2 linked regions of the Anolis sagrei genome follow. The protein of the gene in region 1 interacts with the protein of each later gene in a biochemical or structural test. Links are inferred from orthologs where the notes say so. Each region holds a gene or a part of one and is shown on either strand. Other genes may lie near its edges.

Region 1 (10,907 bases):
CACAAATAGAGACAGAAAGAGAAGGTCCCGCCTCTCCCGCGTGCCGATTGGACAGGCCCGGCTCAAAGTGGAACCTTATTGGGTTACGCGGCTGCCAATCACAGCTTGAGGAAATTCCCGCCCACAAATTGAGATAGAAATAGAAGGTTCCGCCTCCCCTGCGCGCCGATTGGACAGTCCCGGATTAAAGCGGAACCTCATTGGGCTACGTGGCTGTCGCTCACAGCTTGAGGAAATTTATCTTGGTGGTACCTCCCACAAATAGAGACAGAAAGAGAAGGTTCCGCCTCCCCCGCGCGCCGATTGGATACGTCGAGTTCAATCAGGAAGCTCATTGGGCGTCGTGGCTGCCGCTCAGCGCCTCAGGAAATTTACAAATTGACAGAAAGAGAAGGTCCCGCCCGTCCCACGCGGCTATTGGACAGTCGCGGCTCAAGGCGGAACCTCATTGGGCTGTGCGGCTGCCGCTCAGTGCCTTAGGAAATTTATCTTCGTGGTATCGCCCACAAATAGAGACTGAAAGAGAAGGTCCCGCCTTCACCGCGTGCCGATTGGACAGGCCCAGTTCAAGCCGGAGTCTCATTGGTCTGTGCGGGTGCCTCTCAACGCCTGAGGAAATTCCCCCCTGTGGCACCGCCCACAAATAGAGACAGAAAGAGAAGGTCCCGCCTTCCCCGCGCGTCGATTGGACAGGCCGAGTTCAAGCCGGAGTCTCATTGGGCTATTCGGCTGCCGCTCAGTGCCTAAGGAAATTTATCTTCGTGTCACCGCCCACAAAGAGAGGCAGAAAGAGAAGGTCCCGCCTCCCCAGCGCGCCGATTGGATAGGGCCGGTTCAAGCCGGAGTCTCATTGGGCTACGCGGCTGCCGCTCAGTGCCTTGGGACATTTCCCCTGTGGCACTGCCCACAAAGAGAGAGAGAGACCGAAGAGAAAGCCCCGCCCTTCTCACGCGCTGATTGGTCCGGCCCTGCTCAAGGCGGTGTTTTATTGGGCCACGCGGCTGACACTTAGAGCCTTGGGGAATTCCCCCCTGTGGCACCGCCCACAAAGAGAGAAACAGAGAGAGACAGAGTTAGCCCCGCCTTTCCCCCCGCGCGGATTGGACAGGCCCGGCTCAAGCCGGAATCTCATTGGGCCGCGCGGCTGCCATTCATTGTGCGAATCTCAATCTCGAATGCTGCAGAGAAGAGTCAATGAAATCATCCCAATCCTGCATTTGAGTGTTTTTAATTGTTTTTAGTAATAATAATAATTATTATTAATAACAATAATAAGTAAATTATTACTTATTATTAATAAGTAAATAATTTCAATAAAATTAATTTTAATAAAATAAAAATAAAAGTATTTTATTAATAAATAATTAATAAAATAATTTAATAATAATATTAAATTATATATTAATAAATAAATAATAGTGTTAAAATAATTTTAATAAAATTTTAAAATAAAAATTAAAGTATTTTATTAATAAATAATTTATAAAATAATTTAGTAATAATAATAAATTATATATTAATAAATAAATAATAGTGTTAATTAAAATAATTTTAATAAAATTTTAAAATAAAAATTAAATTATTTTATCAATAAATAATTAATAAAATAATTTAATAATAATTATAAATTATTTATTGATAAATAAACAATAGCGTTAATTAAAATAATTTTAATAAAATTTTAAAATAAAAATTAAATTATTTTATCAATAAATAATTAATAAAATAAATTAATAATAACAATAAATTATTTATTGATAAATAAATAATAGCGTTAATTAAAATAATTTTAATAAAAAATTAAAATAAAAATAAAATTATTTTATCAATAAATAATTAATAAAATAATTTAATAATAGGCAATAATTTTAATGAAAATAGCTTTTAAAAATAACTGTTAAGTTTGATAAAATGTTTAATAAAAATAAAATAATATTATTAACGAAAATAATTTTTTTATTTATAAATAATTAATAAATAATTTAATAATAATAAAAATAATTTATTAATAAATAATAAAGCCCAGTGGGATTCTGTATCCGCGGTTCAGAGAGACGCAGTTCCACCCTCCCCAGGACGCTAAAATCGTATCCCAGGCAGGCCGGGAGAGCAAAAGATCATGCAAAGAAAAGTTTGGAGGCAGTAAAAGACACAAAGTAATACTAGGAAGAGAAAAATTTACTATTAAGTGATACTTTATTGGGTTTTCTCAGCCTGTCACTGAACATTGAGAAAACCAAGGTGCTTTTCCAGCAGTCGCCAGCCAACCTCTCTCCAATGCCAGAGATACAGCTTAATGGTGTAACATTAGAAAATGTTGACCATTTCCGCTACCTTGGCAGCCACCTCTTCACCAAAGTCAACATTGACACCGAAATACAACACTGCCTGAGCTCTGCGAGTGCAGCATTTTCCCGAATGAAGCAGAGAGTGTTTGAGGACCGGGACATCCGTAGGGAGACCAAGGTGCTTGTCTATAAAGCCATTGTCTTCCCAACCCTGCTCTATGCCTGCGAAACGTGGACTGTCTACAGACGTCACATGCAATTCCTGGAACGATTCCATCAGCGCTGCCTCCGGAAAATCCTGCAAATGTCTTGGGAAGACAAGCGGACAAACGTCAGTGTGCTGGAAGAAGCAAAGACCACCAGCACTGAAACGATGGTCTTCTGCCATCAACTCCGCTGGGCCGGCCACGTTGTCCGGATGCCTGACCACCGTCTCCCAAAGCAGTTGCTCTACTCCGAACTCAAGAACGGAAAACGGAATGTTGGTGGGCAGGAAAAGAGATTGAAAGATGGGCTCAAAGCCAACCTCAAAAACTCTGGCTTAGACACTGAGAACTGGGAAGCCCTGGCCCTTGAGCGCTCCAACTGGAGGACAGCTGTGACCAGCAGTGCTGCAGAATTTGAGGAGGCACGAATGGAGGGTGAAAGAGAGAAACGTGCCAGGAGGAAAAAGGCGCGTCAAGCCAACCCCGACCGGGACCGCCTTCCACCTGGAAACCAATGCCTTCACTACGGAAGAAGATGCAGAGCAAGAATAGGGCTCCACAGCCACATACGGACCCACAAGGAAATCCAGAATGGAAGACCATCTTACTCGTCCAACGAGGGATCGCCTAAGTAAGTAAGTACTTTATTGGGGTATTTGATACAATGTTAGGAAGGGGAAGAAAGTGAAGCAAAAAGAAGGTTTCTTGATTGTAGCTGCTGCTGTGGCCACGTTCCATAGAAGTTGGCCCAAGCAGACGATAGAGAACTGTGGAACTCTCTGCTGCAAGTCAGAGTTCTGGGTTCGTTGACCTCAGGTACAAAGATGTGCCAATGCACAACAGATATAGCAGATCTTCAGAAGATCCTCCAGAGCCCACTACTGTCACCCTGGGTGCCAGGACTGTCTCTTAAGACAGTCCGTTTCAAAAGTCCTACTAGAGGTCATATCATTATTTTAATGGCTTTGCATTACTGCAAAACAGCGCAAAGGGATGACATTGGGATGCATTGGGAAATAGCCGAGAAAAGATTAGGAAACTCGGCAGGACCTTTGGCCGAGTGCATGTTAGCCCTGGACTGCTTTAGAGATGTATTACTTACTTACTTACTTAGGCGATCCCTCGTTGGCCGAGTAAGATAGTCTTCCAGGATCAGAACTCTTGTGAGTCTGTAGGTGGCTGTGGAGCCCTATTCTTGACCTGCATCATCTCCCGCAGTGAGGCCATTGGTTTCCGGGTGGAAGGCGGTCCCGGTCAGGGTTGGCTTGACGTGCCTTCCTCTTGGCACATTTCTCCCTTCCGCCCTCCATTCGTGCCTCTTCAAATTCTGCAGCACTGCTAGTCACAGCTGACCTCCAGCTGGAGCTCTCAAAGGCCAGGGCTTCCCAGTTCTATGTGTCTATGCCAGAGTTTTTAAGGTTGGCTTTGAGCCCATCTTTCAATCTCTTTTCCTGCCCTCCAACATTCCGTTTTCCGTTCTTGAGTTCGGAATAGAGCAACTGCTTTGGGAGATGGTGGTCGGGCATCCAGACAACGTGGCCAGTCCAGCGGAGCTGATGGCGGAGGATCATCGCATCAATGCTGGTGGTCTTTGCTTCTTCCAGCACGACATTTGTCTGCCTGTCTTCCCAAGAGATTTGCAGGATTTTCCGGAGGCAGCACTGATGGAATCGTTCCAGGAGTTGCATGTGACGCCTGTAGACAGTCCACGTTTCGCAGGCATAGAGCAGGGTTGGGAGCACAGTAGCTTTATAAACAAGCCCCTTGGTATCCCTATGTATATCCAAGTCCCCAAACACTCTCTGCTTCACTCGGAAAAATGCTGCACTCGCAGAGCTCAGGTGGTGTTGCATTTTAGTGTCAATGTTGACATCTGTAGACTGTCCACCTTTCGCAGGCATATAGCAGGGTTGGGAGGACAATAGTTTTATAGACAAGCCCCTTGGTCTCCCTACGGATGTCCCGGTCCTCAAACACTTTCTGCTTAATTCGGGAAAATGCTGCACTCGCAGAGCTCAGGCGGTGTTGTATTTAGGCGTCGATGTTGACTTTGGTGGAGAGGTGGCTGCCAAGGGAGCGGAAATGGTCCACATTTTCTAATGTTACACCATTAATCTGTATCTCTGGCATTGGGGAGGGGATGGCTGGTGACTGATTGAAGAGCACTTTGGTTTTCTCGATGTTCAGTGACAGGCCGAGCTTCTTATAAGTTTCTGCGAAGGTGTTTAGAGTGGCTTGTAGGTCTTCTTCTGAATGCGCACAGACGACGTTGTCATCAGCATACTGGAGTTCTATAGCAGATGTTGTTGTAACCTTGGTTTTGGCTTTCAGTCTGCTGAGGTTGAATAGCTTGCCATCTGTCTGAGAGATGATTTCCACTCGGGTGGGAAGCTTCCCATCAACAAGGTGAAGTATTATAGCAATGAAGATGGAGAATAAAGTTGGGGCAATAACACATCATCCCTGTTTGACACCCGATTCCACCTTAAATGGGTCACTTTGGGAGCCATTGCAGTGCCAAAACTGTTGCCATCATGTCATCATGGAGGCGCCGTGATGACATGATGGCATGAAAAAATTTTGTGAGTGGAGCTGACACAGCAGGGGGGTGGTGTGCTCCCTGTATGTCGCTTTGGTGAGCAATCTGGCTGCCGCTCGCTGGACCAGTTGAAGTTTCCGAACAGTCTTCAATGGCAACCCCATGTAGAGTGTATTGCAGTAGTCTATTCGGGGGGGGGGGGGATGTAACAAGAGCGTGGACCACTGTGGCCAGATCATATATATATATTAAGGCTGGGTAACAACGGAAAAATTTGTTTCTAAACTCGTTTCGTTTTTAGGGTTTTTTTGCGTTTCGATTTTTAAAAGAATTCCGAAATTTTTCTTTAAAAAAATTCGAAATTTATGAAATTTCGTAAATTTCAGATTGATTAGTTAATGGCGGACGCAATTGCGCAATATGCAAAAAAAACCCCTCCAAATATGCTAAAAATATGCTGAAAAATGCGAAAATAATTACGAAACAATTTCAAAACAATTTCGAAACTATTATGAAACAATTACGAAACAAATTGAAAAAATCGTTTCGATTTTTAATTACTCCTGCATGGCTCAATATCGGATCGTAAGCTAATTTAAATATGAATTAATAACGAATTACGAAATTAACGAACGAAACCGCCCAGCCCTAATATATATATATATATATATATATAGATAACATAAATATTTAATAATTATAATAATGTAATGTAAGAAAATAATAAATTAATAATATGATATAACAAATACAATATTTAATCATAATAATATTTTCCTTTTTCCTTTTCCTCTTTTTTTTCCCCTTTAAAAGCTGTTGCTAAATAAATACATGTTGCAGTACCCCAAAAGTCCCTCTAGGGGGCGGCCGTTTCCTTCCCCTTTTCCCCCACCCGCAAACAAGATGGCGCTGTGGTCTGCCCGCCGCCCCCCCCAGCATGGCGGCGAGGAGGCGGGCCTCTCCCAAGATGGCGGGAGGGAGGCGGCGGGAGGCTCTGGGCATGCGCGGGGCAGGGAGGGAGGGAGGCGGGGCGCCAGGAGGCGGGGCTTGAGGGAGAGGCTGCGCTGGCCACGCCCCTTCGGCCAGAGCCAAAGCCGACGCCTCAAGAGAGAGAGAGAGAGTCCCCAGGTAGGAAGGGAGGAGGGGAGGGGAGGAGGGGAGGGGAGGGGGGCTTTGGGGGGCGTCCTCAGGCCTATTTTGGGGTTGGGGGTGCCTCTCTCTTTGGGGTGAGGAGGGGGCGGGGGTCCCTCTCTGAGGGGGGGGGGGCTTTGGGGGGTCCAAAGAGCCATTCAGGGGTCACTAAAGTCAGGCTGGGGCTTTCAGGCAGGCCTGGGCCCACTTGGGCCTTCCCTTCAAGTGTTTGGGACTACAACTCCCAGAATTCCTCACAGACTCAAGCCCTTTCCTCCCCCCCCCCCCTCCCAGCCACTTAAGCAACTAGCAGAAACTTTTTGGAATAAACTCAGTAATAATAGTAATAATAATAATGTGTGTTTCAAACAATAATAATAATAATAAAGTTTATTTGTAGCCCACCCTACCTCCCCAGGTGGACTTATGACAGAATGTATAATAATAATAGTAATAATAATAATAGTTTCTGTTTCAAATAATAATAATAATAATAATAATCTTCATTTCTAGCCCACCCTACCTCCCCAGGTGGACTTATGAAAGAATGTATAATAATAATAATAATAATAATAATAATTTGTGTTTCAAATAATAATAATAATAATAGTTTGTGTTTCAAATAATAATAATAATAATAATAATAATAATCTTTATTTGTAGCCCACCCTACCTCCCCAGGGGGACTCATGAAAGAATGGGGGCACTTTCTAGAATAATAATAATAATAATAATAATAATAATTTGTGTTTATAATAATAATAATAATAATAATTTAAAAAACTTTATTTGTAGCCCCCCCAGGGGGACTCATATAATAACAATAATAATAACAATAATAATAATAATAATAATAATAATTTGTGTTTCAAATAATAATAATAATAAACTTTCTAGCCCACCCTACCTCCCCAGGGGGACTCATGAAAGAATAGAATGGGGGCACTTTCTATAATAATAATAATAATAATAATAATAATTTCTGTTTCAAATAATAATAATAATAATAGTAATAAACTTTATTTGGAGCCCACACTACCTCCCCAGGGGGACTCGTGAAAGAATGGGGGCACTTTGTATAATAGTAATAATAATAATAATAATAATAATAATAATTAATATTATTATGGAACAAACTCCCAAAGGAGGTAAGATCTGCTGCCTTATGACCTTTAGAAAAAAATTAAAATCATGGTTCTGGGACACTTTCTATTATTATTATTATTTGAAACACAACAAGATGAGTCCACAGCAGACACTCTGCTGGCTGTTGTAGTGGATCACACGTCGGACACTTCCCAGGTGTCTAGGACTGTGTGATGTATCGGCGAATAATGTGTGCATATCCCAATAAGGTGGCCTTTTGCATCTGGCAGGTGATAATTTTGTCAGCACCAATTGTGTTTAAGTGCACGCCAAGGTCTTGAGGAACTGCACCCAGCGTGCCAATCACCACTGGGAACCCCTTGACTGGCTTGTGCCAGAGTCTTTGCAGTTCATAGAATCCAAGAGTTGGAAGAGACCTGGGCCATCCAGTCCAACCCCATTCTGCCAAGAAACAGGAATATTGCATTCAAAGCACCCCTGACAGATGGCCATCCAGCCTCTGTTTCAAAGCTTCCAAAGAAGGAGCCTCCACCACACTCCGGGGCAGAGAGTTCCACTGCTGAACGGCTCTCACAGTCAGGAAGTTCTTCCTCATGTTCAGATGAAATCTCCATGTAAAGTTCAATCTTTAAATCCTCATATCGTGTCAGCTTTTCCATTTATTATTATTATTATTATTATTATTAGAAACACAACAAGATGAGTCCACAGCAGACAAGATCACTCTGCTGGTTGTTGTATTGGATCACACATCGGACACTTCCCAAGGGTCTAGGACTGTGTGATGTCTTGGCAAATAATGCATGCAGATCCCAGTAAGGTGGCCTTTTGCAGCTGACCGGTGGTGATTTTCTCAGCGCCGATTGTGTTTAAGTGCAGGCCAAGGTCTTGAGGCACTGCACCCAGTGTGCCAATCACCACTGGGACCCCCTTGACTGGTTTGTGCCAGAGTCTTTGCAGTTCGATCTTGAAATCCTCGTAGCATGACAGCTTTTCCAGTTGCTTCTCTTCAATCTTGCTGTCGCCTGGGATTGCAACATCAACGATCCATACTTCATTTTTTAATATGATCATGAGGTCAGGAGTCTTGTGCTCCAAAACTCTGAATTTGGAAGTCCCAGAGTAGCTTGACGTGTTCATTCTCTGTTACTTTTTCTGGCTTGTGATCCCACCAGTTCTTGTCGCTGGCAGATGGTGTTTGTGGCACAAGTTCCAATGGATCATCTGAGCAAGGGTGTTGCGCCTCTGCTTGGAGTCTGTCTGCGCGATCTTCTTGCAGCATCTGAGGATGGGATCTATTGTTTCATCTGCTTCCTTGCAGAGTCTACATTTGGGATCTGTCATTGTCGACTTTTCATTTATTATTATTATTATTATTATTATTATTTATAACCCGCTTTATCTCCCCAAAGGGGACTCAAAGCAGCTTGACATGAAACCATTAGTATATAATTTAAAATATAATAATAATAAAATTTTATTTCTATCCCATCTTATCTCCCGAATGGGAACTCAGAACGGTTCAATCAATCAATCAATTGAACTTTATTTATATACCACCACCCCATCTCCTCATGGGTACTAGAGGTGACTTACAACATAAAAGGCAACCATTCAATGCCATAAAAATACACCATAAAATTTAAAATACAGATAAATAGTTGCTGCTGTGTGTTGTGAACCCCTCTGATTCCCCATTGGGAAGATAGGGTGGGATAGAAATAAAGTTTTTATATTGTTATTATTATTATTATTATTATTATTATTATTATTGTCCCTTGGTGGCACGATGCATTAAACCCTTGTGATGACAGGACTGCTGGCTGAAAGGTTGGCGATTCAAATCCAGGGAACAGGATGAGCTCTTGTCCGTCAGCCCCACGGGATGGTAACATATCTGGACATCCCCTGGGCAACGTCCTTGCAGACAGACAATTCTCTCACACCAGAAGCAACTTACAGTATACTCTCAATTCGCTCCCAACACGATTAAAAAAAAGATTATATTTTAAATTATTTACTAATGCTTTCATGTCAAGCTGCTTTGAATCCCTTTGGGGAGATAAAGTGAGGTATTAATAATAATAATAATAATAATAATAATAATAATACAAAGCACTCCCATTCTTTCAAAATGTTGCTGATGATAAAGGATGATAAAAACATCAAATCATCTGGGAGTCCCCTGGGCAACGTCCTTGCAGACGGCCAATTCTCTCACACCAGAAGCGACTTGAAGTTTCTCAGGTCACTCCTGACACGACAAAAAAATAATAATGTTGCTGCTGCTAGTTGGTTTTCCCTTGATCCAAGAAGACAACAAGTCTTTTAAAACAGACTTTTATGGACTTATTGCAGGGCATTTCCAATGCCACGATGACTATTCTCAGGTCTATTAGACTTGCATCATTCCCAGTTTTGTGACTTCTGAACTTCATCCGTTATGATATGCATTATAACTCTGTGATGTGTCTCGTTTCATCCATTGTAATGTACATAATAATGATGATGATGATGATGATGATGATGGACAAGGAGGAGGCTGTCCAGAGAAGGGCCGCCCTAATGTCCAGAAGCATGGAAGCTGCAAAATCCTTCGTAAAGAGATGGACATGTTCATCTCAGTGATGTGAGGCTGAGAGAAAGGGACATGACAGCCTTGTTTAGATATTGGAACAAATAACATATTAAGGAGGAGGCCACGCTTGTTGCTCCGGAGACACAATGGAGCTGTGGATTCAAAGAGCAGGAAAAGAGATCCCACCTCAAACGTTTAGGAAGTACTTCCTGACCATCACAGCTGTTTGGAATCTGCTGCTGGTGCTGCTTTAAAATGTGATGCAAAGTTTCTTTCTCTGCAAGCGTTTAATCAGAGGCTGCATGGTCATCTGTCGGGAGGTATCGGATTGTGCTTTCTCTGCATGGCAGGGGTTTGGACTGGATGACCTTTGGGGATCCTTTCCAACACTAGATTTATAATTATATTATTCTTAAGCAGAGGCTGGATGGTCATCTGTTGGAAGGTATCGGATTGTGCTTTTCTTGCATGGCAGGAGTTTGGACTGGATGACCTTTGGGGATCCTTTCCAATACTAGGATTATGATTCTATTATTATACTGACTGTGAGAGCCGTTCAGCAGTGGAACTCTCTGTCCCGGAGTGTGGTGGAGGCTCCTTCTTTGCAAGCTTTTAAACAGAGGCTGGATGGCCATCTGTCAGGGGTGCTTTGAATGCAATATTCCTGCTTCTTGGCAGAATGGGGTTGGACTGGATGGTGGCCCAGGAGGTCTCTTCCAACTCTTTGATTCTATGATTATTCTTCTTAAGCAGAGGCTGGATGGCCATCTGTTGGCATAATTCGGATTGTGCTTTTCCTGCATGGCAAGGGGTTGGACTGAATGACATATGGGGTTCCCTTCCTATACTAGGATTGTATGGTTCTATTTATTATTATTATTATTAAACAGAGACCGAGTGGCCATCAGTCAAGAGGGATCGGATTGTGCCTTCCTGGCCAGAATGGATGGTCACTGGGGGACCCTCCTAACCCTAATCTGCTCTTTGCCTTTAGTACATTGTGGCCTTGTGTGGGGCACTTACAGAGAAATTATTATTATTATTATTATTATTATTAC
Region 2 (10,755 bases), on another chromosome or scaffold:
TAATCCACGCTCTGCTTACATCCCGTATACTGCAACACTCTCTACGTGGGGTTGCCTTTGAAGACTGCGTGGAAGCTTCAAATGGTCCAGCGCTCGGCAGCCAGGTTGCTAACAGGAACGGCACTCAGGGAGCATACTACTCCTCTGTTGCGCCAGCTCCACTGGCTACCAGTTTGCTACCGGGCACAGTTCAAAGTGCTGGCTTTAGCCTATAGAGCCCTAAACGGTTCTGGCCCTAGTTACCTCTCCGAATGCATCTCCTCCTATGAACCGACTAGGACACTAAGATCATCTGGGGAGGCCCTGCTCTCGATCCCGCCTGCATCACAGGCGTGCCTGGCAGAAATGAGAGACAGGGCCTTCTCAGTGGTGGCCCCTCGGCTGTGGAACGCCCTGCCTGCAGATATCAGATCGGCCCCCTCCCTGCTGGCGTTTCGGAGGAAAGTGAAGTCCTGGCTGTTCGAACAAGCATTTGATTAAGCAGTGTAATTGAACATAGGAATACAGAATAATGGATGATGAGACTGGATTCTGATTTTACTGTTGAGGCGCTAATGATTGTTATACGGATGTTTAGTGATTTATGTTACAATTGTTTTTAATTGCCCTATACTTGTCTCGTGATGTTTTGTATTGATGTTGTTCATCGCTTTGAGTCACCTGAGGGCTGAGAAAAGCGGTATATAAATAAAGTAAGTAAGTAAATAAATAAATAAAAAATGAAGAATTTAAAACAGCACCATAGCCTACTTCTTCTTCTGTGTCTTCAGCACTATGTTATAACTGACATAGAAGTATTCTAGATTCATCAAGGTCTACCTCCAGAATAACAAGCAAATAGTAATAGCATTAGTTGGTATCTATGCCCCCTTCTACACAGTCATATAAAATCCAGATTATTTGCTTTAAATTGGGTTATATGACAGTGTAGACTTATATAATGCAGTTCAAATCAGATAATCTGGATTATATGGCCGTGCACTCACTCAAAGCATTTATTTCGGTCATAGACCAGCACAGGAAATAAAAGTCACATTACTATTACATTTTCTATTACTTTCCCCCCTAAAATTGGTATAAGATGTTTTATAGATGGCATCTCACACCCCAGCATCTGGCAAGGTGCTATAAGAATCAAAACAACAAATGTTGGAAATGTGGGGAAGAAGTGGGAACCATCTTCCATTCTTGGGGGTCCTGCAAAGAAGTTAAAAACTACTGGAAAAAAATACACGAAGACTCTCAAAAATATTAAAATTGAAATATGATTTCAGGCCTGAATACTATTTATTTATTTCATGCATTTCTACCCCGCCCTTCTCCCCCGAAGGGTCTCAGAGCGGTCTTACACTAGCATCATATGATGCTATCAACATATAAACAATCAAAAATTACATTTAAAACATTAAAAATCAATAAAAACACATTATACAATTCATTAAACAATAAGTTAAACATGCTAATTAAAACCAAATCGAAGTCAGTTTAAATCCAATGTTAGAGATATCCTAAGTTTCTTTCCAATTGCCGCTGTCCACTAATCGAACGTCTGGTCCCAAAGCCAAGTCTTCAATTGTCTTCTAAAGGACAGAAGGGAGGTGGCCAACTTGATGTCCTTAGGGAGAGAGTTCCACAGACGGGGCCACTGCCGAGAAGGCCCTGTCTCTTGTCCCCACCAACCGCGTTTGCAAAAGTGGTACGATGAGCAAGACCTCTCCTGACAATCATAAGCTTCATGATTGTTCATAATAGGAGATACATTCAGACAGGTAATCTGGGCCAGAATGTTTAGGGCTTTAAAGGTTAAAACCAGTACTTTGAATTGTGCTCGGAAGCTGATCAGCAGCCAGTGGAGCTGACGTAACAGAGGAGTTGTACACTCCCTGTATGCCGTTCCAGTGAGTAACCTGGCTGCCAACCATTGGACTAATTGGAGCTTCCGAGAGGTCTTCAAAGGCAGCCCCACATAGAGAGCATTGCAGTAGTCTATTCGGGATGTAACAAGAGCGTGGACCACTGTGGCCAAATCAGACTTCCCAAGGAGCGGGTGCAGCTGGCGCACAAGTTTTAATAGTGCAAAAACTCTCCGGGCCACCACCGAGACCTGGGCTTCCAGGCTCAGCGATGAGTCCAGGGTCATTCCCAAACCTAACAGATTTCAAGATAGAGAGGAATAAGGATAAAATATTCTGCACGTAAATGTAAATACAAATACTGAAGCACAATAGGGGTGAGGGAGCAGAAGGGGAAACAGGGTGAAAACATACAATGCACAGGTCTATCAGCAATTATAGAATCAAGGAAGATGATTACTGGATACACAGTTAACTCTTGGGACCAGTCACCTGTACACAGATGACGTCCAACTCTGTCAATCCTTCCCACTTGCTACTAAGGAGGCTGTTCAGGTACTGAACTGGTGCTTGGCCGCTTTGACGATCTGGATGAGGGCGAACAAATTGAAATTGAATCCAGACAAGACAGGGGCACTCCTGGTCAGTCGTAAGGCTGAACAGGGTATAGGGTTGCAGCCTGAGTTGGATGGGGTTACACTCCCCCTGAAGATGCAGGTTCGCAGCTTAGGTGTGATCCTGGACTCATTGGTGAGCCTGGAACCCCCAGGTTTTGGCAGTGACCAGGGGAGCATTTGCACAGTTAAAACTTGTGTGTCAGCTGTGCCCGGACCTTGGGAAGTCTGACTTGGCCACGGTAGTCCACGCTCTGGTTACATCCCGTATAACGTACTGCAACGCGCTCTACGCAGGGTTGCCTTTGAAGACTGTCCAGAAGCTTCAAATGGTCCAACGGATGGCAGCCAGATTACTAAAAGGAGCAACACTCAGGGAGCATACAACTCCTCTGTTGCACCAGCTCCACTAGCAGCCAGTTTGCTACCGGGTCTATAAAGTCCTAAACGGTTCTGGCCCAACTTACCAGGCGGAACGCATCATCCTTTATGAACCTGCTAGGAATTTAAGATCGTCCGAGGAGGCCCTGCTCCCGATCCTGCTTGCGTCACAAACACGTTTAGTGGGAATGAGAGACAGGGCCTTTTCAGTGGTGGCCCCTCGACTATGGAACGCTCTTCCTGGGGACATTCGATCGGCCCCCTCCCTCTTAACATTTCGGAAGAGAGTCAAGACTTGGTTGTTGGAGTAAGTGTTTGAAAATGCAAGGAAAAAGACATAGGAATTGGAACGACTGGACGACGAGATGGGACAATGTTTTTATTAGGAGATGCAAATGATCTTTGTTTTTAGTATTCTTGTTATGGTTTTATATTATGTGTTAATGTTTTAAAATGTTTTATGGTGTTTTGGGGCATCATATTGTTGCCATTGTAAACTGCCCTGAGTCGCCTGAGGGCTGAGAAGTGCGGTATACAAATACAGTAAATAATAATAATAATAATAATAATAATAATAATTCCCTGACAGATTTTGTATGCTGCTTCACAAAACTTTGCAACATTGTAAGTTGTAGCTGAATTAGTACCTATATGGCAATGTAGAAGGAGCTTTCAAGTCAGTTATCAACACGTGGCAAATCATTCATTTCCTTGGATTTTCTTAGGCAAAGAATATTCAGAGCTGGTCGCACCTACAGCCCCTGATTTTCCTTGGTGGTCTCCCTTCCAAGTGCCAACCAAATCTGAGTCTGCCTAGCTTCAAAGTCAGAGCATCCGATGCCTTCAGCATTTAGGCCTTGGGCATTGTATATCCCACCTATGTTCTCTGTATGGCTTGGATCTGAACACAAGGGGGCAGTAAAGGAGAAGCTGAAAACAAAACTTTCAGGTGTACATAACATATTAAAAGATGCAACTAATTACATAAGCAGCATATTCCCTTCTTCCCAATTATCAACGAATTCAGTTCCTTAATGTCTGGTGTTTTGGGTGATCTTTGTTCAATTACTTAAACTGCAGGCACCAAACCTTCTTCAATCAGTTATGTTTCTTTGATAAAAACTTTACAGTTGGACTCGTTTGCAAACTATGGATAATTTGGGGCTGATCCATCAAAGCTGGGTGGCTTATTACCTCCTTAGCATAATCTGTGTATGTTCTTGGAACCATAATAATAACAACAACAATAATAATATACTTTATTTATATTCCGCTCTGTATCCCCGAGGGGACTCAGAGCAGATTACAATATACACGGAAACAGTAATTATTATAGTAGATTGCCTGGGAGAAGTTAAAAAAGGGTTTTCCTTTCAAAAGAAAAGAAACAGTTGTCAAAGCCATTTGCCTGTTACTTGTGGACAAGATTAAGAAAGCTACCAGTCATTTGTATGATTGTCGTTGAAGACTGAAGAAGTATTTGTTTAATTTGTTCAACAATAAAGGACTTTGTTAAACCTTTCAAGCCTCTAAAGACTCTTCCAGAGGAAAATCCTTAGGGCCTCTCTATCAAGGCGCCCTGGCTTTCCGCTGGGCACAAAGTGCACGTCCTGTTCAAAAGACAATTATTACAGGCCCAGTGAGTGACAGCATTATTATTATTATTACTAGCTATCCCCTGCCACGCGTTGCTGTGGCCCAGTCTGGTGATCTGGAAAATGAAGTAATGAGAAAGTGTTGGTTTCTAATATATGTAATTTCTTTATGCTTGTGTTGATATAGAGATTGTCTAGTTGGCCTACTCTGGAGCATGCAAAATAGAATTGTCCTTGTTTAGTGGTCCCTTTCAAATCTATGATACTATATCTGTGTGTGTGTGTGTGTGTGTGAGTCATATATCTCTCTCTATATCTATGGCTGGGTGGTTCTTTGTCAGGAGGGCTTTGATTACATTTTCTTGCCCTGGTAAAGGGAGTTGGACTGAATGGCCTTAAGTATTTTCTGTTGGTCATGGGGGTTCCGTGTGGGAGGTTTGTCCCAATTCTGTCATTAGTGTGGTTCAGAACGCTCTTTGATTGTAGGTGAACTATAAATCCCAGTAACTACAACTCCCAAATGTCAAGGTCTTTTTTCCCCAAACTCCATCTGTATTTATATTTGGGCATATTGAGTATTTGTGCCAAGTTTGGTCCAGATCCAACATTCTTTGAGTCCACAGTGCTCTCTAGATGTAGGTGAACTACAATTCCAAAATTCAAGGTCAGTGCCCACCAAACCCTTTCAGTATTTTCTGGTGGTCATGGGAGTTCTGTGTGCCAAGTTTGGTTGAATTCCATCGTTGGTGGTGTTCAGAATGCTCTTTGATTATAGATGAACTATAAATCCCAACAACTACAACTCCCAAATGACAAAATCATAATTTTTGAGTGATGGTCATTCCTTGTGTAGTGAGACGTTTTGTTGCCAAATTTGGTGTGATTTCGTTCATTAGTTCTTTTGTTTTTAAGGTACTCATTATGCACTGAGCATTTTATATATAGAGATTATTATTATTATTATTATTATTATTATTATTATTATTATTATTAGAGGAGTTGGGAGGGAAAGCCACTCCATGTGTAATGCAGTTTGACATCACTTTAACCACCATGGCTCAATGCTGTGGAATTATGGAAGCTGTAGTTTTACAGAGTGTTCAGCCCTCTCTGCCAAAAGTGCTGGTGCCTCACCAAATTATATTCTGGGTTATATGGCAGTGTAGACTCATATAATCCAGCTCAAAGCAAATAATGTGGATAATCTCATCCGATAATCTAGATCAGTGTTTCTCAACCTGGGGGTCGGGACCCTTGGAGGGGTCGCGAGGGGGTATCAGAGGGGTCACCAAAGATCATGAGGAAACACAGTATTTTCTGTTGCTCATGAGGGTTACATGTGGGAAGTTTGGCCCAATTCTATCGTTGGGGGAGTTCAGAATGCTCTTTGATTGTAGGTGAACTATAAATCCCAGCAACTACAACTCCCAAATGTCAAGGTTTATTTTCCCCAAACTCCACCAGTGTTCACATATGGGCTAATTGAGTTTTCATGCCAAGTTTGGTCCAGATCCATAATTGTTTGAGTCCACAGTGCTCTCTGGATGTAACTGAACTACAACTCCAAAACTCAAGGTCAATGCACACCAAACCCTTCCACTATTTTCTGTTGGTATTTGGGAGTTCTGTGTACCAAGATTGGTTCAATTCCATTGTTGGTGGAGTTCATAATGCACTTTGACTGCCGGTGAACCATAAATCCCAGCAACTACAACTTCCAAATGACAAAATCAACCCCCCACCCCACCCTACCATTATTCAAATTTGGGCATATTGGGTATTTGTGCCAAATTTAGTCCAGAGAATGAAAATACATCCTGCATATCAGATACTTACATTACGATTCATAACAGTATTACAGTTATTAAAGTAGTAACGAAAATAATTTTATGGTTGGGGGTCACCACAACATGAGGAACGGTATTAAGGGGTCACAGCATTAGCAAGATTGAGAAACACTGATCTAGATTATATGGCAGTGTAGAAGGGGCCTCTAGCAGAGAAAGTGGGTGCCTCGCCAAACCACAAATCCCATCTTGCTGCATTGATAATCAAGATTATGTGGCAGTGTGGAGCCAGCCTGAGTTTGAACAAGGGAGACTCACTTCAGCCAAACACAGCACCTCCTTGTTCAGCAGAGAAGGCGGAAGAGAAGCCGCCTCTCCTTTTCTGTTTGTTTCCATGAACTTTGGAAAGAAAATGATAATATCTCAAACTGCATCTCAAACCCTGGCGAGAGGCGGGGGCTGTGGGAAAATGGGAAGAGGAGGGAGAGGTCTGGAAAGTGTCATAAAGGTCAGAAGGAGTCGGTCACTCCATCTCTCCTCCCCAACAAAGCAGTTCCTAAAGGAAAGAGGCGGATCCTGCTAAGCCTTGGTGACCTGAGCCAGGCAGAGAGGGAGGGAGAGTGGGGCGGGCACACAGCTGTTTCCCTGCTCTCTTTCAAGCATCTCTCAGGGACAGAGGCGCCCAGAAAAGTTTCTTCCAACTCTACCCCAGCAGCTCCTCTGAACAGGCAAAGCATGGGCACATTCTCCTCCTCTTCCACTCTCCTTGGAATGTGTAGCATGCTCTTCTTCACCTCCAAAGTCTGGGGTAAGTTGCACTTGAGACAAGGCTGATTATTGCATTTCTCATTTCTGTGTATGGCTGGGAAAGTTGGGATAGGGGAGAAGTTTGGGGTGACTCTCATCAAGAGTGTAGAATGAATGCAATTTGGTATCACTTTAACTGGAGTTTCATGCAGTTTGACAACACTTTTAACTGTCAAAGAAAGTTGGTGCCCCACCAAACGACAGATCCCAAATTGCTGGGATTTGTAGTTTTGGCGAGGCACCAGCCACCGTTGACAGAGATGTGCCACAGACCTTATTTAATTATTTACAACATTTATATGCCGCCCTTCTCACCCCAAAGGGGACTCAGAGCGGCTTACAAGATATATCAATATCTATATCTCTATCTCTATCTATCTATCTAAATAAATAAATAAAAATGTAATGTTCGTTTGTGGGATTAACAGAACTCAAAAACCACTGGACGAATTGACACCAAATTTGGACACAAGATACCTAACAACCCAATGTATGTCCTTCACTCAAAAAAACCTGATTTTGTCATTTGGGAATTGTAGTTGCTGGGATTTATAGTTCACCAACAATCAAAGAGCAATCTGAACCCCACCAACAATAGAATTGAACCAAACTTGGCACACAGAACACCCATGACCAACATAAAACACTAGAAGGGTTTGGTGGGCATTGACATTGAGTTTGGGAGATGTAGTTCACCTACATGCAGAGAGCCCTGTGGGCTCAAACCATGATGGATCTCGACCAAACTTGGCACGAATATTCCATATGCCCAAATATGAGCACAGATGGAGTTTGGGGAAAATAGACCTTGACATTTGGGACTTGTAGTTACTGGGATTTATAGTTCACCTACAATCACAGAGCATTCTGAACCCCACCAACGATAGAATTGGGCCAAACTTCCCACACAGAACCCCCATGTGGGCCACAGCAACGCATGGCAGGGGACGGCTAGTCTATATATATATATATATATATATATATGCAATATATTATATTATTAGCATAGTGCAATATTAGTATTAATAACGGCGTTCCATGCAGTCATACTGGCCACATGACCTTGGAGGTGTCTACGGACAACGCTGGCTCTTTGGCTTAGAAATAGAGATGAGCACTACACCCCTGAGTCGAACACAACTGGACTTAATGTCGGGGAAAACCTTTACCTATATTCTACTATACCATTATATTGTAATATTATTAGTAATATTACATGCAATATAAATATATAATTGTAATATCATATTATTAGGCAAAGGCAAAGGTTTTCCCCTGATATTACGTCCAGTTGTGTCCGACTCTAGGGTGTGGTGCTCATCTCCATTTCTAAGCCGAAGAGCCGGCATTGTCCATAGACACCTCCAAGGTCATGTGGGTGGCATGACTGCATGGAGCGCCGTTACCTTCCCACCGGCGCGGTGCCTATTGATCTACTCACATTTGCATGTTTTCGAACTGCTAGGTTGGCAGAAGTTGGGGCAGACAGCGGGAGCTTACGCCGCTCCCCGGAATCGAACCTGCAACCTTTCGGTCAACAAGCTCAGCAGCTCAGCACTTTAACCCTTTGCACCACCAGGGGCTCTTACAAGATACATATACATACAATATATTATATTATTAGCATAGTGCAATATCAGTATTAAATATTATATTGTACTATACCATTATATTGTAATATTATTAGTAATATAAATATATAATTATAATATCATATTATTAGGTAAAGGTAAAGGTTTTCCCTTGACACTAAGTCCATTCGTGTCCGACTCTAGGGTGTGGTGCTCATCTCCATTTCTAAACCGAAGAGCCAGCATTGTCCATAGACACCTCCAAGGTCATGTGGGTGGCATTACTGCATGGAGCGCCGTTACCTTTCCACCGGCGCGATACCTATTGATCTACTCACATTTGCATGTTTTCGAACTGCTAGGTTGGCAGAGGTTGGGGCTGACAGCAGGAGCTCATGCCGCTCCCCGGAATCGAACCTGCGACCTTTCGGTCAACAAGCTCAGCAGCTCAGCACTTTAACCCTTTGCACCACCAGGGGCTCTTACAAGATACATATACATACAATATATTATATTATTAGCATAGTGCAATATCAGTATTAAATATTACTATATTGTACTATACCATTATATTGTAATATTATTAGTAATATTACACGCAATATAAATATATAATTGTAATATCATATTATTAGGCAAAGGTAAAGGTTTTCCCCTGATATTACGTCCAGTTGTGTCCGACTCTAGGGTGTGGTGTTCATCTCCATTTCTAAGCCGAAGAGCCAGCATTGTCCATAGACACCTCCAAGGTCATGTGGGTGGCATGACTGCATGGAGCGCTGTTACCTTCCCACCGGCGCGGTGCCTATTGATCTACTCACATTTGCATGTTTTCGAACTGCTAGGTTGGCAGAAGCTGGGGCTGACAGTGGGAGCTCACGCCACTCCCCGGATTCGAACCTGCGACCTTTTGGTCAACAAACTCAGCCACTCAGCTGTTTAATCCACTAGGGGCTCCTAATAATTATATTATTAGTAGTGTCATATTGCATTACATTATATATATATATATAACAACATTTAAAAATATTTCTTTTCATTGAAAATATTACCAATAGGTTCTTGTGGGTTTTTTCGGGCTATAGGGCCATGTTCTAGAGGCATTTCTCCTGATGTTTCGCCTGCATCTATGGCAAGCATCCTCAGAGGTGGTGAGGTCACCACCTCTGAGGATGCTTGCCATAGATGCAGGCGAAACGTCAGGAGAAATGCCTCTAGAACATGGCCCTATAGCCCGAAAAAACCCACAAGAACCTAGTGATTCCAGCCATGAAAGCCTTCGACAATATTACCAATATTTTGTATTTAGAATATTTGTATTTCATTATTCAGACAGAGGCCAAAGGGGGCGCTAAAGAGAGAAAGATGGTCCATTTTATGGGGGAGAGGGGGTTGAAGAAGTGAAACTATTTTCCTGTTTTCCTGATATTGCCCCCACCCATTTCGCTGTCATGGAAAATCCCTCATTTATGAAATGAGAAGTTGGTGGGAGAATAATCAGCGAAAACGGGGAAACAGGTTCTCCTCCTAAAAAATTGACTATATTTCTCTGTCTAGCACCCCCTTGTGGCCTCCACCCGGATAATGCAACAGTATCAAATAAACAAATATCAGCTAGAAATTGGAGGAAAGTGGGTGGAATTCTTTGGCAGAGAATGAGTGAAAGGAAGTGTGTCAAAAATCCCAATTCAAACAGGAGTCCCAAGTAAATTGTGCAGAATTGCAGCACTGTTGTGTATTATTTACCCAGGGATTTGTTTCTTATCTCTTGGAACAAAGCCAGTTTTTAAAAATACAATCTCTGTACAGGAAGGGTTTGTTTACAAAGTGCAGTTTAAAAGGTCTGTTTCTTTGGAGCATAGGTAATGCGTTTCTAGAGCTATGTTCTGGTTGAGCATGCTTTATCTGGAATGCTGAAATATGATACACTCCCAAATTGAAAAGTGCTGACATGGGCGGCTGAGAAAGTGGCACCTTTGCTTTCTGAGGGTTCAGTTTACATCAGTCCTTTGATACACAAAATTATTTAAAATATTGTATAAGGTGTATGTGTAACAGCTGCTGGGTGAGATCATCCGGAGTTTTGGAGTTCAATGTCATCTGTACGCAGATGACGTCCAACTCTATCACTCATTTTCACCAGATGC

What was found.
Region 2: the proteins of TLN1 (region 1) and ITGB3 form a complex in vitro, tested with the Homo sapiens proteins (6 studies listed by BioGRID and IntAct, with this or other methods). The link is inferred for Anolis sagrei from reciprocal best matches to the Homo sapiens genes TLN1 and ITGB3.

Annotation. Positions count from the first base shown.
Region 1 is NC_090022.1:302,403,386-302,414,292, forward strand, and holds the start of TLN1 (talin-1), read left to right. Parts: upstream 1-6,073; 5' UTR 6,074-6,161; intron 6,162-10,907. UniProt on the Homo sapiens protein: High molecular weight cytoskeletal protein concentrated at regions of cell-matrix and cell-cell contacts. Involved in connections of major cytoskeletal structures to the plasma membrane.
Region 2 is NC_090026.1:45,734,524-45,745,278, reverse strand, and holds the start of ITGB3 (integrin beta-3), read left to right. Parts: upstream 1-6,755; 5' UTR 6,756-6,965; coding exon 6,966-7,038; intron 7,039-10,755. UniProt on the Homo sapiens protein: Integrin alpha-V/beta-3 (ITGAV:ITGB3) is a receptor for cytotactin, fibronectin, laminin, matrix metalloproteinase-2, osteopontin, osteomodulin, prothrombin, thrombospondin, vitronectin and von Willebrand factor.